3 linked regions of the Arabidopsis thaliana genome follow. The protein of the gene in region 1 purifies or fractionates together with the protein of each later gene. This does not show direct contact. Each region holds a gene or a part of one and is shown in the gene's direction. Other genes may lie near its edges.

Region 1 (4,911 bases):
AAAAAGAGAGCGTAATCTCCATTGGTGAGATATTTCAAAAAGTTTCTAAAAAAAATAAATAATGATATTTTATTATGATTTAACTTCTGTCCAATTATAAACACACATATACACATAGTCTCTTAATCATTATTCTAAAGTTTCTCTGCAGAGAAACTATTCTCAATCTCTCTTCTACTTTATTATCATTTTATATTTTTTAGTTAATGAGAAACTATATGAGAGACTACTGATGGAGATGCTCTAATTTCCGACTACTCCTACTATGTTTGGGACTCTTCCCATTGTACAGTGTTAAGGTCAAGGTCTGATACTAACATAAATTTAGAAGTGGCGTACACGCAAACTAGTGGGATTAAAAAAAAAGAGTATTAAAGATTTAAGAAAGAGTATTATATATTTAGTCAAATGGGTTATTATATACTAAATAGGAAACAAATTAAATTATGCAAACCGCACTTAAAAAGTTTTTTTATGTATAAGTTACTTCATTATCTAGACTCTTGAGTTATCCGATCCATTGATATTAATAAACACTGAAAGAATTTGTTTCCATTAGTTTAAAAGGAATTAAGCTTTTTAAGTGCATTTCACATTTTAAAAAATAGAAAAGAAGAAAGTAAAACAATGTTGTTTTTTAAGGGAATGTTGATCGGAAAAATAAAGTGAGTTTGTAAGCTTAAGACGTGTAACTTTTGAGTAAATTTCCGACGAGATATTCATTTTTGGCTTACATTTGTTAAATCGTGTAACTTTATTAAATTTTACATTTGTTATATTTTCGCTGCAACCACTTTTTTTCTTACAAAACGAGTGACTAAGTGGAGACTAAGAACAAGCAAAGCTACTTACAACTACATACAAGGGTCAAAATTTTCTTTGGTTCAATCCACACAACATGAAAACTCTATCAAATTATATCAAATATTTTAGTATAGAGGATATTGACATATCACATTCAACTCTTAAGAAACAAACAACAATGAAGATACTTTACACCATTAATTTTTTTAATAATTGATGGACAGCACTACATAGTGGAGAAGAGGCCAATGTGAGATATAACCCACCACATGGTAATGAGTATTGGGTAGTTTTGATACATTCCATAATATGCAACAATACATAATGCATTTATGTCGGTCTTCCACTTTCTACTCCTCACGTGAAACCTTTGATCTTTCTCTTTGAGAAAAAAAAAATTCAACTCAGTTTCTCGGATCTCTTAAACAATACCACTCCACACGTTCCTCTGCTATTTCCCTTATCGTTGTATAAATTGGATATTTATCAAAACTGTAACTATTTTGTTAGAATGAGAATCGGTTTTATCAATATACCGATTTTTTTTTTTTTTTGCTAAGAGTCAATATACCGATTAATCAGCTAGACTTCCAGTTTGACTTGATTACCATTCGATAATGAGTCTAAAAATTACAACACCTTGGGTAATGAGTTTTTGTGGATGGAGAGCAACGCGCATGTCGATAGAGAAGAGAGCCAATATTAGTGTGGACCCAAAAAACAGATAGAAACAACGAAAAAATAGGAGATGGAATACAGACTGTTCTCTCTACGATATACAAAACCCCACTCTTCATTTTTATATTCTTATTACTTTCTACACACTCATCGTATATCACTCACTATATAAACACACACTCACACATTCACTCTACAAACACTAGAAACCACAAAGACAAAATCAAGGTCTTAAACAATGAGATCCCATCTCTTGATTTTGTTAATCTCTCTCTTAATCTTGAAATCTGAATCCATAAACTGCAATGAAAAGAGCCATTCCTCAGATCTAAGAGTGTTCCACATTAACAGTCTATGTTCTCCATTCAAAACTTCTGTTTCATGGGCAGATACACTTCTTCAAGATAAGGCTCGTTTCCTATACTTGTCAAGCCTCGCTGGCGTTAGGAAATCATCAGTTCCAATCGCCTCTGGTCGGGCCATCGTTCAGAGCCCGACTTACATCGTGAGGGCTAACATCGGGACACCGGCTCAGCCCATGCTCGTGGCTCTTGACACTAGCAATGACGCTGCTTGGATTCCTTGTTCTGGCTGCGTTGGCTGTTCTTCCTCTGTTCTCTTTGACCCTTCCAAGTCAAGCTCCTCTCGTACTCTTCAATGCGAAGCTCCTCAGTGTAAACAGGTAACTAAATATTGCTTTATAGTTATACCCTCCGTATAAATTAGATATGTGCATGCATTCTCTGGATGGACTTGAAAAATGAAAACTATACTCAACGTAATTTTTTTGAATCATATCATACATTCATACTTAACGATACTTTTGTACTGAATAAACCGGGAAAATCGATATACAAAAAATACATTTAAATTATACTAACAAATAATTCGCATTTTTACTTTGTTCAAAACAAGATCTAATCAGAACATACATAAATGTTTCAAATCGAAAGAAAAAAAATGGTTAGTATTTGGACTTGATTATTTTTAACAAAACAAGAAATTTAAAACCAAAACCGAAATACGAACCGAATGTCAGGCGTAATGTGAATGCCTCTACGTCAATTTTTGGATCCATCTACACAAAAGATGTGAATGTGAACTTCGTTTTTGGCGTGTTATTACACCATGATCGAGAAGTCTAGTCACGGGTTTTGGACCTTTTGGTACCATGAGTCTAAGTCACGGGTATATTATTATTTATACAAGAAATTTATAAACAATCCAACTAGTAGAGCATATTTTACTGTTTGAACTTTGATCTATATATATACTTTGTCGTCATGCTAGTTAGGTTTTGCCTATAATACAAAAACGCCACTTACAACTGCAATTAAATAACGTAACACATCGTTAGTAGCGCAATTTAATAACCAGATCCAAGATGGATAAAACAATTCTTTATGGAAATACGTTGTTAAACTCAAAGAACAAAAAAAATTCTAAATATTAATCAATAAAGAGTTTTTTTTATTGCAGGCTCCAAATCCAAGTTGCACAGTAAGCAAATCATGTGGTTTCAACATGACCTACGGTGGTTCAACCATCGAAGCATATCTGACACAAGACACACTAACATTGGCCAGTGACGTCATCCCAAACTACACCTTTGGGTGCATCAACAAAGCTAGTGGAACATCGTTGCCAGCGCAAGGACTCATGGGCTTAGGTCGTGGTCCATTGTCTTTAATCTCACAGTCACAAAATCTTTATCAGTCTACATTCTCGTATTGCTTGCCTAATAGTAAGTCCAGCAATTTCTCCGGATCACTAAGATTGGGACCTAAGAACCAACCGATCCGGATCAAGACCACTCCATTGTTAAAGAACCCTAGAAGATCATCGCTTTACTATGTTAACTTGGTTGGGATTCGTGTCGGAAACAAAATTGTGGATATTCCTACAAGTGCACTCGCCTTTGATCCGGCCACCGGAGCCGGCACCATCTTTGACTCGGGTATGGACTTCTCAACCCTCCTTAATATTTTTTATTTTTCGCTTGAGAACTGAAAAGTCGTGCGATGGAAGTAACCTAATTGCTCTGCTCTCTCACACGTAACACGTGATATTTCTGGACTAAAAATGATTTTACAATCAAAACAAAAATGGCCAATCCAAATTTTCATATAAAAATTATATTTTAGAAAAGAAATTTGATTTTTAATTACAAAACACTTTTGAATGTACGCAGGGACGGTCTACACAAGGCTAGTCGAACCAGCTTACGTGGCGGTGAGAAACGAGTTCAGGAGACGTGTTAAGAACGCAAACGCAACTTCACTAGGAGGTTTCGACACATGCTACTCCGGCTCCGTCGTGTTCCCGTCGGTGACGTTTATGTTCGCCGGAATGAACGTGACTCTGCCTCCAGACAACCTTCTCATCCACAGCTCCGCAGGTAACCTCAGCTGCCTCGCCATGGCTGCAGCTCCGGTCAACGTTAACTCTGTCCTTAACGTCATCGCTAGTATGCAGCAACAGAACCACCGAGTTCTCATCGACGTTCCAAATTCCAGGCTCGGAATTTCCCGTGAAACTTGCACCTAAGTTTTATCGATTTGTATTTTTGTTTTCGGTCGATTTCGTAATGCGTTTTGAACTTTTGAATTTTGGAAACTATATAAGTTAATGATTTTTGTTAATTCTCAAACGATTGTAAAATCTTTCGTATGATTTTCTTTCGATGTTCTCTGTTCAAAAAGGATTGTACTCATGAATTTGCGGATGCAATAAGCCTGGAACAGAGGACCTTTATTATTTTAAATATATATATGTTCCAACTTCCAAGTATAATCATATGCATCAACTTCATGAGAAAGTACCAAAATGTCAACAAAAAATGATTATGCCTTGGAAGGCATTTTCATCACCCAAATGAGACTGAGAAGTTCTAAATGGCGCGTTAAAAATCTACGATGATAATCTTGTAGACCCCAAAATGTCCGATGTGCTGCCTTGAAGTTGCATAGTTCATCATACTCCACTAACGAGGAAACACATTCACTCTTACAACAAAACTTCTCTCATATAGGTAAGAAAAAAGGTGTGAAAATTAAAGACTTGTCCTAATATTTGGTACTTGTAATATTTGGATGACTTGATAATTAACCAAAGATTTTAGTGAACACTAACCCACAAAATTTCTGAATGTTTTGAAAGATATACACTTTCAATAAGTGAAAAAGGAACAACCCCGAATTAGTATCTTTGCGCAAACATGAGAGAAGAAAAAGAGTGGAACATAGAATGGGTGAGAGAGTGACAAGTGTAAACCCCACTTCCATTAGGTTCATTCCCATCTTTGCCAAATGGATTTTGCGGTTTGGCTTGACATCAACGCTAACAGCCAGACTCACTCCACCATACACCTAAAAAGAGAAAAAAAGCATACAAAAAGGCTTTTATAGCTAAATGAATAAAAGCATTTGC
Region 2 (7,481 bases), on another chromosome or scaffold:
ACTGCCAAACCGAGACACAAACTTCATGGTTCTGGCAAGATTCTCCAATTCTAAACCGAACGGTACAAAAAAAAGCAAACATTCTCCAAATTCTTGTCAAACAAAATGTCATTAGAATCAATGTTACATTGTGTTTTCATGATTCATTATTTCTTCTTAATTTGCAGACAATAGCAAAAGCTGTTGGAGATTGGGTTTATGACAGAACATTGTTTCAGAAGATAGATTGTCCTTACCCTTGTAACCCTACTTGCCACCACAGGGTTTTCACTCCTCTAGATGCTCCTCCAATTTAAGTGATTCTACCATATACAGTATAGATTTATTATTATTTTGAAAAGAAAATTTGCTTATAAATGATTCATTTGTTAGATACATATAGTGAAATATTCCTAGGGTTTAGCTATAGAAGATGAAAAAGAAAAAGAGTGTGATTAATTCTTGAGTGTTGAGAATAAGCAATAGGAGTAATTTTCTTCAGCACTTGTCTTGTGTGCTGTTTAAATTGCTCTGTTTCTCTTCTATTCTGATGTAAAATGCAAATTGTTACCTTTATCCTATCAAATAAAGTATAATTCTTTTCTCAGTTGTATCAATCTTTTTCATTCTGAATTAGTGAATTCATTATTTTGTGAATTGGTTGTTTGTTTGGCACCTGGTTATATACCACATTTTTTGTCTTTATTTTCAAATTCTTAAAAGATTTCCATATAATATGGATACAACACTTCGATGATCAGATCTCAGGTTTCTTCGGAGAGGTTCGGTGACTAAACGGTACTAAGAAAAAACTTTAATTCGACTCTGTTTACATGTTTGGGCCCTGTACACTTTTCTCCTTTTGGCCCAATCAAAAAAAAATGCAACTACTATTTATATTTTCAAAACATAACGTCATTATTGGTTTATTGGTTTGATCTTTTGGGAATGAGGAGATTATTTTTTTTTGAATGAAAATTTTTCTGAAAATAAATTTGATGTTTTGTGTTTGCTTTTTTGTAAATCTATTAGATATAGTTAGTTACTCAGTGAGCTTAAGTCTCCTTTTTCTATAATTGTTGTATACAAATTTAGTATTAATTGTCACAGTTTTGTGATTGAGGTCATCTCTTATGGCTTACACGTTGAGCTTCGTTATATAGTCGAGCCATTTTGTAAAGAAAATTTGAGAAATATAAATTTGTATTGCTACGAATCTTAACTTTTTTGTATTATTCATGTTTTATGTGAAACCCATATGCAATTATGCTATCTGTATTATTTTTCACCCGGTTTCGGATCGATCATTTTTCCGAGGAAATAGTGGAGAAAATCAATGAAAAGGAATTACACTTGAGATGTAACAATTATTCCTTTTATTTCGTAAAATTTAACGAATTCTAATTATATTTTAATTCTAGATCTTAATTACTCGTGTTATAATAAAAAGATCAAAAAGAGAAAGGTCTGAACTTTAAAATTTTGTTACTTTACGAAAAATCTCTAACATGTTTTGGCTGTTGCGCAGCTAACTCGATCGGTGTGCAGTGCACCGACACTTTTAGTCCTCGTGCCAAACCATACTTTTTATTTCTTATTTAATTGTGATTCATAGATTTTTGTTTTACAAAGATAACAAGCTAGGATGAATTATTATAACACGACTGTGAAAAGTTTAACAAAAGAAAGACGCATCTTATAAGATTGATGATAACTTTAAAAACTGAATATCTAAATGAATATGCATATAGAATCAGTATTCTCAAGGTCCGAGCATAATCTCATTTTATTTTTATCGATTGGTTAACATGAAAGAACCAATTTCGAAAACACATTGATAAAAAAAACAATTATACAACTTAGTTTCTTGACGTTGGATAACCTGGCGAATCTACTAACACATGTGCACGCTATGCCAGTCACAAGTATCTTATAAAAAGAAAAAAGAAAAAAGAAAACTTTATGCAAATTAAAGCAAAAGAGTAAATAAAAAAGCAAATTAAAAAGAAGAAAAAGTTTGATTTTTTATTTGCAACTTGTGGATATGTATCTATATGATGAAGAAGACATCAATGACTGGCTTCCATAAACTTTTAAAGCTCTCTCTTTCAGATTCCTCTCTATCCATTTCATTAACACCAAAACCTTTTTCTTCTCTCTAACCAAACAAGAAGAGGACTCCATTTTCGCAAGGTATGCTTCATTTGTATCGATCTTTTTATAGTTCTGCAAGTTTGATATGTACTCAGAATAAATTGAATATTTTGTTTTAGTCTTGTTAGTTAGAACTACAGTATATATTACTATTAGCCATTTAGGATTTCAAGAAGATTGCATATTAATATCAGATCATTAATGTGAATGACATCGAAGGTTACTTCGGGGAATTGATAATTTGAAACGATTCAACACATTTCTCTGCGATCCAACAAGTTGAATATGAATAAGGGGATGATATGATTTTTCTTACATAGTAAAAGTTGAGATGATGTGAAAGGGTATTTTTGGTATCTCAAGATACAAGCATCCCATAATAGCGATTAGCAATTTTTTTTTTTTTTTTTTTTTTTGTCAAACCGATTAGCAATGTTAAGTAATGAATTATGATAGATTTGTAATGATAATAATTGTTTAGTGCTCTACACTCTGAGCAAGGTTATAATTACAGACAACTAGAAAAGTTGGTCTGAGAAAAGCTATAAGATATTTAAAGACGCACATGGACGATGGATGTCTTTTTGTTTGTTTGTTTTGTTCTTGGCTAGTTATCACATTTGACATTTCTGATAATCTACTTTTGAATAGTCTAAATTTCCAATTTGTAATAACGTGGATTCGAGGAATCTTAAAACAATGGATTACATAATAGTATAATTATAAAAAATATTATCCACTCGAAAATGTAGGTAATTTCAAAATAAATAAATTTGTCAGTCCGCATGTTACCATATGAAAGCAGTAATTAATTCGCATTAGAAATGTACTATTATATTATTATTGAAATTAACCAAATCGTAAGCTTGTTTATTTATTTATTTTCCAAAAAATGATAGAATGGGGAGGCTTAAGCAATGTTGGTCAAGTCTGCTAGTATTGGCAGTGTTGGTGATCGGAACTGGAGCCGTTCCCATCACTTATCTCCAAAGCGCCGTCGCTAAAGGAGCCGGTAATATGCAACAACGGTTTACATAATACTTATATTCATATTTACACAATTTATCGGATAATTCAATAAGTTTTTGAGAACATATATATATATATATATATATATATATGTTTATTATGTAGTGTGTTTGGATGGGAGTGCACCAGCTTACCATTTTGACAAAGGGTTTGGTTCGGGTGTTAACAATTGGATCGTCCACATGGAGGTAAAGAAACTTGTTTTTTGTTGCAAATTTCTGGACCACTTGATATATTTTTTTGTCGTTGAAATGACTGTACATATAAATCGAGTTCTTTTTTTTTTTTTTTTAATATATATAAATCGTAGTTCTTTATAGTTGTGTGATTAGTTAAAACTTAAAAACATTGCGGCGTTTATCGTTAGCATCTTATGTTTTTTTTTTAATAATTATTTTACTGAAAAGAAATGTAACATAAAAATAAGGTAGAATTAGTTGAATAAAATTTGAATGAAGTGTATATGTTGTTTATATGTTAGGGAGGAGGATGGTGTACCGACGTTGCTTCATGTAATGAACGTAAGGGTACAATGAAGGGTTCTTCCAAATTCATGAACAAAGACTTTGGATTTTCCGGTATCTTGGGTGGCAAGCAAAGCACTAACCCAGGTATATTACTGTTTTTTTTTTTGTTTCTAATGATCCAGAGGTTTGTGGGAGAGTTATGATCAATTAATGCTGTTGAATCTATCTTGATTTTCATAAAAAAAAAATGATTTTCTTTTGCTCAGATTTCTACAATTGGAACAGAATCAAAGTACGATATTGTGACGGATCATCCTTTACCGGCAATGTAGAAGCCGTTAATCCGGTAATTTAGTGACTAAATTGTGATATTTCATAAATATTATTTTTAGTCAAAACATTCACATTTTTCTTGAAGTACTATAAATTCTTGCAGTCAAAATTGTATGATTTATATATAGTCGGAACCTTGAATAATTTCAGGCAAACAAGCTGTTCTTCCGCGGTGCCCGAGTTTGGCGTGCGGTGGTTGATGATCTTATGGCTAAAGGAATGAAAAACGCTCAAAACGTATATTATATGTGCATATTTCGACATCTCTCTTTCTTTAATGTGTATCACTTAAAAAAAATTAACATCTTATAAAACTTTTCAGGCTATACTCTCCGGTTGTTCAGCTGGAGCATTGGCTGCGATTCTTCATTGTGACACTTTCCGTGCCATACTTCCCCGAACAGCTAGCGTCAAATGTGTTTCTGATGCCGGTTACTTTATCCACGGGTACGTGTACATACTCTTAGGCGTTGGCCAAAAAAGTATATGGAACCAAACCGAAAGTCTAAACTAAATTACTAAACCCAACCTAAACTGATAACAACCAAAATAAACAAACCGGTTTTATTTGATGTCAACAGTGATTATTATCACTGAATTCGATTTTATGAAACAGTAAAGATATCACAGGAGGATCATACATTCAATCATATTACAGCAAAGTCGTCGCACTCCACGTATTACTCTTTATCTAATATATCTCTCAATTGCTAATTCTCTTCAACCATGAGGTGAATCCTAAAGTCAGTGTTGCTTAATATCTTTTTGTAGGGATCTGCAAAGAGTCTTCCTGTTTCTTGTACCTCAAAAATGAAACCAGAACTCGTACGTGCTTAACTAAACATACCAACATCGTTGATCTTGACACTTTTTTCCATCTATATATGGACCGATATCAAAGACTTCTCCGATCGTTTTTTGCAGTGTTTCTTCCCGCAATACGTCGTTCCTTCCATGCGAACACCGCTCTTTGTCATCAATGCCGCTTTTGATTCTTGGCAGGTCATATACTAACCATGATATACTTATATACATAAACATTCATTTCATTATAAAATATACACAAATCGGATACATATAAACTGAATTTGGTGATTTTTTCAGATCAAGAACGTTTTGGCTCCAACTGCTGTTGATAAGGGAAAAGAGTGGAAGAATTGTAAGCTTGATCTTAAGAAATGTAGTGCCGCTCAGCTCAAAACCGTCCAAGGTAATTCCATAATTGTTCCGGTTTATATTGGTTTGGTTTTGAATACGATCAGTTCGGTTTATCGAGATTTAAATTTAAACCGGGTTGGTTAAAACATTTCAGGGTTTAGAGATCAGATGATGCGAGCATTGTCACCGGTTCACAGTACACCGTCTAGAGGATTGTTCTTAGACTCGTGTCACGCTCATTGCCAAGGAGGAAGCGCCGCCTCTTGGTCCGGTGACAAAGGTCCCCAAGTCGCCAATACGGTAAAATTCAATCCTCCAATACTTTTAAAATCTTTTCAATTCGATTTTAGTTCTGATTTTGATTATTTGTTTTTGCAGAGAATTGCGAAAGCAGTCGGAAACTGGTTTTATGGCCGGAGTGCATTTCAGAAGATAGATTGTCCGTCGCCGACTTGTAATCCTACTTGTCCTGCTATCTCTACTGAAGACTAGAATCATCTCTAAATGTTCAATTTTTTTTAATTTGAAATTGAAAGAGCTCGCAAACATTTTGGATTTGTTTTCCAAATCGGATCAATAATAATCACTGCAATTTGAATAAAGAGTATATCTTTACTTTGTATTATAATCGAGTTTACCTATAAAGTTTTTAACTTTTTATACGAATCCAGAGAGAAAGAGAGAGACTGTGTACTACTCGGTGCTCTGCTTCTCTCATTTTGTAGTGAAGTGAAGAACCCTAAAAATCATTGCTTTATTAAAAAGCATCGATGGATTCGGCGTTTGTGGACAGAGCTTGGGACAAATGGGTTACTACGGGTAACGTTGGTTCTTCAGGTAAGTTCTCTCTGGATTAGGGTTATTGTTTTATTCTTCTTCTTGTTTGGGAGATTTTGAAAAGAAGATGAAGAACCCAGAAAGAAAGAATAAGATGCTTCTTTTCGGTGATTTGATTGTTGGAATTTGTTCAGGTAATCCATTGAAGGCTGCTATTTTGATTAACTATGATCCTACAGGACCTTCTCGTCTCTTATCAACAATGTAAGCTAATTCATCAAGTTTCAATATCTACTGCTCTCTGTTTCTACTTAAAGGTTGTTCTTTTAGATTGGTTATTTGCAGTAAAAGATCGAAACTTTGATGTATGCTTAATTTTGAGTTATTGGCAGAGCTAAACAAGAAGGGATTGATATCTATCCAGTTGATCTAAAGCAATTTATAGATTTCATGAGATGTGGCAATCTTCCTACTGAGACTTTTGTTCTTGGATCCAACCAATGTAAAAGTTTGTTTGTTTGGTTTTATTTCTTTTGCTTGGAGAGTATGATTTGTGGTTTAATAATATGATTTGGAATCTGCAGACATAATAACATCTATTCATGAGAACTGGTTCGCTGCTAGGTGTTTAAACACTTCCCAGCCTGCTGGTGAAGGAGCTATTGTTATGCAGACTGCGGTTTACGTGTTGGTTGCTCTGTGAGTGCACTGAATACTTTGCTCAAGTGCATATCTTACTCTTACATTTTCAGTTCAAAAATAAGATGGTTATGATTTGCAGATATGATGGATCAATTGGTTCAGCTTCTCAAGCTATGGCTGCAGCTGATCAGTTTGCATCGCAGCTGAGTCGGAAAAACTTCTAGCATCATCATTTGCGAAATCACGAGTATTTACATTGTTCTCTGTTATCAATGTAAACAAGCTTTGACTATGTTTTGTGAAGGATCTTTGTGTTTCGATAACTGGTTTTTCATTTTATCTCATCTTAATCAATTGGTTTTTGAACAAGTCATATCAGCATGTACAGTCGTTTTGATTCAGTTCCAGTCCTGAATGCTTGTTGGATTTCCTTTATCAGAAAGCGGTGTCATCGGTGTTGTTTTGGGTAGTGGGGATCATGTTTGGGACATAGTGGACACACCCTGCAATTACCATTCATAGCAAGTGAGAGTCCCTTTCAGAACCATTATGTTGTGTGAGAACAGATCATCATCAATATGATTAGACTAGAGATTGCTGATCAAGAACCTAAATAAGAACATAAGTATACCCTCTTAGAGACGCATACATAGCGAATAAGGCAGTCAATATGATTCAGCCGAAGTAGTGAGATCTCTCTATCTTATTCTTCTTGCTGATATGGTCAAGGACTAAATGTGAAATCGAGAATGAAGAAATTATTGTTTGAACTTCTTAAAAGAAATTTATTTTTGTTTGAATTTTAATTAATATCCAAACTAATTATGTACTTTATAAGAGGGAGTAATAATGAAGTTAAGATATTTTCTTTGCCAAAAATAAGAAAGAGAAAAATCCAAAAAAGAAGAAACAAGATTAGATGCCCTGACTTGTAACCATAAG
Region 3 (6,316 bases), on another chromosome or scaffold:
AGATTTAAATATTATAGACTACATGTTATGGTCTATCACATATTCAAAATTTTCAGATTATTTAAATACAAACATCATGTGTTCAAATAAATGTAACAAAGTCGTGACTCAAAAGTCAAAGTCAAAACCTATATGCTCTCTCTGTATTATTTAGTACTTGTATTATTAAACGCGTTTTGGTTTTGGAAATATATAACATAATTCTCATTTTTTCTGTTTAGAGAAAAAACAAAGAATTTTAAAAATTGGTAAATTGTAATCGACAGATCTTCCAGGCCACTTTCCTTATCCCTTTCTCCTCCTAGTCCCACGGACCCTACCTTCCTCTTACATCATTTGGTAATGATCTTTCCCAAATTCATTTATTTTTATAGTTAGACATACTACATCAAGATTCATACTAATTACAGACTTATCAACTATACATTAATCAATATGAGATAATTTTTCTCTTTTCTTGAAGTAGTCCGCTAAAATTATAGTAATAAATACTAATATACCTATAGACATAGACAGATAATTGTAATATCCAAACAATTTTAAATAAGTTTGATGTTCTTTTGATCATAAATCTACCTTCATAATGAAACATCCTCCACCAGCATATCATAAATGGTTTTTTGACGTATATTGAAAAATTCACCATGTTGGTACGTAAATTTCCATTTTATTTTAATTGGTTATGAGATACACACAACCTTCTCAATGACAAGAATATATGGTTCTTCTATATATAAAGAATCTTTTTAATTGAGGATAAAGAACGCCGATTCAAGGATTATAGTAAGCTACTTAATAATTTGACTTCTGCACCGAAACAATATCAATCATTTTTTACAAAAATATAATGAAGAGATATAAATCTGTTTAACTTCTACCCTAATATTCATTTGTGGAGAAAGAAGGTAAAAAATTAAAGTAATGATTCATTTATTCAAGTTATTGAATACATTATGAAGACGAGGAAGACAAAAAGTCAGAATAATGTAAGTAAATTAGCATTAGGTCTTAAACTCTCGGCATTCCGCATTAACTTGATTCGGTGCATTTGGAGGAGGACCGACACAATACCACACGTGGCAAATTAATTTCCTTTTGCAGAAATAATTCAATGTCATGTAATTTCAAATTTTAAAAGTTTTGAAGACAAAAATCATCTCATGAGCCGAATTGATATGGACACTAGTACAGCAGCTTCCTTAGATTCCATCCAGACATAACTTTTGATTTCGATATAGGTCATCGCTATTGTACCAACTACTACGTATAAAAGAAATACTGCATCCTCATAATAAATCATAAAACTTTATAATAAACTAAACAAAAATAGAATTCATTTTTCTGTTTATTTATTGTAATATTCTTATGTGAAACTATTAATAAATTGAACAAAATACTTAAAGGAATTAGATTATATACGATATGTGAATACTGGTCATATTACTACGAAGGTAGTTTTCTTGAGAGTCTTTAACGTTGAATTCTCGTGACCTGGCAAATACATGAAAGTAACAATAAAACTTTTATATTTATTTTTATTAAATGAAGCAAAAAAGAAAAAGAAAAAAAAAAGGTTTTCTTTCGACGTGTGGTATTCTGTATCCATCTATATAACAGAGAGGACATCAATGGCTTTCTTTGAACTTGTAAACCTTACTCTCGAAGAGTCCTCTGTTACTCATTTTTACATTGTAAAAAAAAACTTCTTTTCTTCTCTACGTGAATAAGAATCTGAAGAGTCATTTTCTCAAGGTAAATCTTCTTCGTCTCTTTTCCTAAAAATGAAGTCTCTATTAGAATTTGTTTAAATGAAGTTTCTGTTATTATTTCTTTGATAGTTTCCAGTTCTTTCATATTGATCTACGAGTTAAAACTCAGATTTTCTTACTCAACCATAGCTTATTAGATATGTTTTGAAAACTAGATATGTTAATTGTGAGTCATTTCTTGGATTTAACCAAGTAACTATTAGTAGAGAAACAATTACGGTCATATAATCGTGATGGAAAAGATCTTGCAATGTTTTGATTTCAATCCTATTTTTGGCATTTTTTTTCTTCCAAGAAGTGGTTTAATTTTATTTTCCCCCAATTAGTTGGCGGTCCAATAATCCACTTACAACAAATTGCAATGTTTGGTTTCAACAAAATTGTTTTTGAATTTAAAATGATATAAGTCGTAATCTCATCATATGCATGGTTCTCATTTTGGCCCTCCCGACGCCATGAATTGCGGTCTGTTTAAGTTTGGTCTAGAAGGGTATTTTCGGATACACTCACATTTTAATTCATTCATTGTTCATAGAGCTACCATTGTACCATCTAAATAGCATTTAATACAAATATATAGGGACGAAAGATTACTAATTGAATATTGCAACTTATCCTTCTAATAGTTGTTCGTGTCTTCACTGATTATAACTATGAGTAAGTCGTTGTTCCTAATATGATTAATATTGAAGGGAATTTATTTATATATTTCGTATTTATAGTAATAATATTATAAATTATTTTTCGGTGGATTACATCAATCGAGGAAAATACTAATGCACACACATGGACTGGTCATTTTGTTTCCCCAACTTTTTGAATGGACCAATGGTGATATTTTCAATATAGAATATATTTTCTCAATTCATTAAGTTCTTACTTTGATACAGAAACAACAAAAGATAAGCTTTATATTAAAACCATGTGCAAGTTACACATAACACATGTACGATTACTTGAGATCCGAACACATCGCTTGATCTCAAAGCTTTTTGTTAGAGTCAATCCTCTACATTATTTGGGAGATAATTAACATTCTATTCGATTTTGTCATTATAGCCATAATAAATTATGTTTGGTTCGGACAAGTTCATTTTTACTAATTTGTGAGTTATAACTTTTTTTCTTTTGTTATAGAATGACGTGGCTAAAACAAATGTGGTCAAGCATTTTAGTGCTAGCCGTGGTGGTGATCGGAGCCAGAGCTGTGCCCATCACGTATCTTGAATCTGCAGTGGCTAAAGGAGCTGGTAGACAATAATTTTATTTTCAATTGCTTATTAGGAATCAGGTTCGAGAATGGATAGTATGAATAGATAGAAAAATCGAATTAATGATGAGGCTTTATAGTAAGAAAAATAGAGCCAACATTGGAAATGGTCTTGAGTCAAGTTTCTAAAAATCCAAAAAAATAAATTGTGTCTTCCAAATTTCAAAATGGTATTCAATATAAATGTTCATTATCTTGGATACTTCAGATTAATAAAACCTTTATCGGTGTTTACTCATGAGACTAACTTGGATTTTAAATTTGGTAGATAAAACCATTGTTATAACTAATTATCTACTATGTTTGACAAACAAAAAAAACTAATTACTGTATATATATTATATTTTCTGTAGTGTGTTTGGATGGTAGCGCGCCAGCATACCATTTCGATAAGGGATCGGGCTCAGGAGTGAACAATTGGATCGTTCATATGGAAGTTAGTATTATTTTTATTTTCTCATTTTATTAGATGTTATCATAAATAACTACGTACAAAATATAATGATATTAATTAAATATGTATATACTTATGTGAATACATTAGGGAGGAGGATGGTGCACTGATATAGCTACATGCGTTCAACGTAAAAGTACAATGAAGGGTTCTTCTAAGCTTATGAACAAAGACTTTGGTTTCTCCGGTATCTTGGGTGGCAAGCAAAGCACCAATCCAGGTTTTCAATTCTTTTTTATTTCTTTTCATTTTGTTCAGCGAATTTTTTATTTGTTTTCTTATGCAATGAGACTGAATCGGATTTTGGGTGTTTTGCAGACTTTTACAATTGGAATAGAATCAAAGTTCGGTATTGCGATGGTTCATCTTTCACCGGTGATATAGAAGCTGTTGATCCGGTAATTCACTTGACCATTACCGTTAAACTTAACTACTTGAAATGGGGACATGGATGATTTTTAATCATTTATATTGAATATCACATAACGATTTAGTTGAAGTTCCAAATTTTTAAGAGTGTAATTTGAATATTTTCAGACGCACAAGCTGTTCTTTCGCGGTGCTAGGGTTTGGCGTGCGGTGATCGATGATCTTATGGCTAAGGGAATGAGCAACGCTCAAAACGTATGAAAAATGATAATTTCAAATATGTTTCTCTAATTGTTAGTGAATTTTTGAAGTGTTGGAATTTAAAATGTTTGGTTACATGAATTTCAGGCTATACTCTCCGGTTGTTCAGCTGGAGCATTGGCTGCGATTCTACATTGCGACCAGTTCAAGTCCACTCTCCCTAAAACGGCTAAGGTCAAATGTGTTTCTGACGCTGGTTACTTCATCCACGGGTAACATTCATAATTTCTAGAGAGTCACACATACAATTGCTAGCATCCTAGATAACAAATAACAACCTTTGTTATTTTGTTGTTTGAACAGTAAGGATATCACTGGAGGATCTTACATCCAATCCTACTACGCCAAAGTCGTAGCGACCCACGTAGGATACATCTCTCTTTTCCTTGGCCATATTTCTCTAATATATCAGGTGTATCCCATCACGACTAATCTCGATCACTATTTACAGGGATCTGCAAAGAGTCTACCTGCTTCTTGCACCTCAAGTATGAAGCCTGATTTGGTAAATTTATCGAAAACATACTTGATATACAAGGCATAAATTTTTCCGAGTTCGTTATATTGTATAAACGCTTATGTTTATATTTTCACAGTGTTTCTTCCCTCAATACGTTGCTAAGACCTTACAAACACCGCTTTTCGTCATCAATGCCGCCTTCGATTCTTGGCAGGTTCGATTTTGTTTTTATGATTATTGTTTTCGGTAGAAATAATAACACTAGATATGATTTGGATTTAAAAATTTTATTCCTTTTTTTGCAGATCAAGAATGTATTGGCACCAACCTCTGTTGATAAAAGCAAAGCATGGAAGACTTGTAAGCTTGATCTTAAGAAGTGTACGGCCGCTCAGCTTCAAACCGTTCAAGGTATGTTTTACCTACCGGAACTAATGAACAAATTTGGTTAATATCTTCTAGACTAAACTGATTGGTTTATTATAATATTTCAGGATATAGAGACCAAGTGTTGGCTGCGTTGGCGCCTGTTCGATCCGCGACGACGAACGGATTGTTCTTGGACTCGTGCCATGCTCATTGCCAAGGTGGAAGCGCTGCCACTTGGTCCGGCGACAAAGGTCCCACAGTCGCGAATACGGTAATCACTTGATTTTCTTGTACAAAGTAAAAATAATATTGGAAAATACCACAAACTTTTGATCTAAGAAGGGTTTATAAAAATTTACAAATGGTTTCTATGACATTTAAGACTTTTTAGAATCTTTCATAAACCTGAAAATAAAACATAAATATGTAGTATATTTTTCATTATTGTTTTGGATTTGTTATTTTCAGAAAATGGCTAAGGCGGTTGGAGATTGGTTCTTTGAGAGGAGTACGTTTCAGAACGTAGATTGTTCATCGCTTAATTGCAACCCTACTTGCCCTGCAGTATCTACTGAAGACTAAAATTTATTCATTGATGTCTTAAAATTTATTCATCTTTGGAATATTGTTCTTGAAATTTAAAAGTAAAATAATATAATTGATACAATTTCATTCGAATAAATAAAATCCTTTGCCCTTCTACAATCGTTTAAGCTGTTATATATAATCAATCTCTCTTATTATTGGGTTCGCAATTTCTTAAATTCTTTTTAATAAAGAATCAATCTTATAAATTAAGGTTTTTTTAATATGTTTTTGAACATAAGCTACTAAGTTTGACTACATTTACAGAAGTTGCAATACAGAAACAAAGATGCTCATGAAACACACAACATCAATGGATTAACTTTCTTACAGATATGCTGGATCAAATTGGTATACAAGTTTACATCTTTTAAACTGTCACTTTTGTTTTCCATTGTAAGCTACGAAACAAAAAGCAAACACACAACAATATTGATTCAGTTGCAGGCAAAAACCGATGAATGTTCTTGGTCTCTTGTAGAATCAAAATCTTTCAGCATTATGTCTATAAGACTGTAATCAATGTTGTTCCGATGATGGATCATGTCTACAAATATCTCCTCGACACAGCGGACATACTCTGCTTCGCCATAAAAACATCATCAGATAATCTAGTACACACCAAAAAGGCGGAAAATTAGTTGTCACCAAACTTCACATTATATATCACATTCATACCTGTGAATCTCCTTGAGCCATTTATCTACACAGGTTTTGTGGAATTCATGATGACAAGGAAGTGTCCTTATAGAGTCTGCTTCTTCATATTCCACAAGGCA

The links.
Region 2: the proteins of AT3G54400 (region 1) and AT4G19410 fractionate together in Arabidopsis thaliana (co-fractionation; one large-scale study listed by BioGRID). This does not show direct contact.
Region 3: the proteins of AT3G54400 (region 1) and AT5G45280 fractionate together in Arabidopsis thaliana (co-fractionation; one large-scale study listed by BioGRID). This does not show direct contact.

What each region holds. Positions count from the first base shown.
Region 1 is NC_003074.8:20,139,409-20,144,319, reverse strand, and holds AT3G54400 (Eukaryotic aspartyl protease family protein), read left to right. Parts: upstream 1-1,556; 5' UTR 1,557-1,720; coding exon 1,721-2,164; intron 2,165-2,961; coding exon 2,962-3,439; intron 3,440-3,673; coding exon 3,674-4,029; 3' UTR 4,030-4,295; downstream 4,296-4,911.
Region 2 is NC_003075.7:10,580,319-10,587,799, reverse strand, and holds AT4G19410 (Pectinacetylesterase family protein), read left to right. Parts: upstream 1-1,938; 5' UTR 1,939-2,172; intron 2,173-3,032; 5' UTR 3,033-3,033; coding exon 3,034-3,145; intron 3,146-3,267; coding exon 3,268-3,350; intron 3,351-3,643; coding exon 3,644-3,773; intron 3,774-3,895; coding exon 3,896-3,975; intron 3,976-4,112; coding exon 4,113-4,199; intron 4,200-4,284; coding exon 4,285-4,409; intron 4,410-4,578; coding exon 4,579-4,639; intron 4,640-4,733; coding exon 4,734-4,787; intron 4,788-4,886; coding exon 4,887-4,964; intron 4,965-5,066; coding exon 5,067-5,172; intron 5,173-5,274; coding exon 5,275-5,420; intron 5,421-5,498; coding exon 5,499-5,538; coding exon of another isoform or gene 5,539-5,612; exon of another isoform or gene 5,613-5,779; intron 5,780-5,810; exon of another isoform or gene 5,811-5,885; coding exon 5,886-5,957; intron 5,958-6,091; coding exon 6,092-6,161; intron 6,162-6,289; coding exon 6,290-6,399; intron 6,400-6,481; coding exon 6,482-6,596; intron 6,597-6,678; coding exon 6,679-6,763; and 2 more. Other genes in the region: AT4G19420 (Pectinacetylesterase family protein), read left to right, coding at 1-296; AT4G19400 (Profilin family protein), read left to right, coding at 5,891-5,957, 6,092-6,161, 6,290-6,399, 6,482-6,596, 6,679-6,763. UniProt on the Arabidopsis thaliana protein: Hydrolyzes acetyl esters in homogalacturonan regions of pectin. In type I primary cell wall, galacturonic acid residues of pectin can be acetylated at the O-2 and O-3 positions.
Region 3 is NC_003076.8:18,343,955-18,350,270, forward strand, and holds AT5G45280 (Pectinacetylesterase family protein), read left to right. Parts: upstream 1-1,579; 5' UTR 1,580-1,752; intron 1,753-2,906; 5' UTR 2,907-2,907; coding exon 2,908-3,019; intron 3,020-3,392; coding exon 3,393-3,475; intron 3,476-3,583; coding exon 3,584-3,713; intron 3,714-3,811; coding exon 3,812-3,891; intron 3,892-4,030; coding exon 4,031-4,117; intron 4,118-4,210; coding exon 4,211-4,335; intron 4,336-4,426; coding exon 4,427-4,487; intron 4,488-4,574; coding exon 4,575-4,628; intron 4,629-4,719; coding exon 4,720-4,797; intron 4,798-4,888; coding exon 4,889-4,994; intron 4,995-5,077; coding exon 5,078-5,223; intron 5,224-5,420; coding exon 5,421-5,534; 3' UTR 5,535-5,741; downstream 5,742-6,316. Other genes in the region: AT5G45290 (RING/U-box superfamily protein), read right to left, coding at 6,057-6,120, 6,216-6,316. UniProt on the Arabidopsis thaliana protein: Hydrolyzes acetyl esters in homogalacturonan regions of pectin. In type I primary cell wall, galacturonic acid residues of pectin can be acetylated at the O-2 and O-3 positions.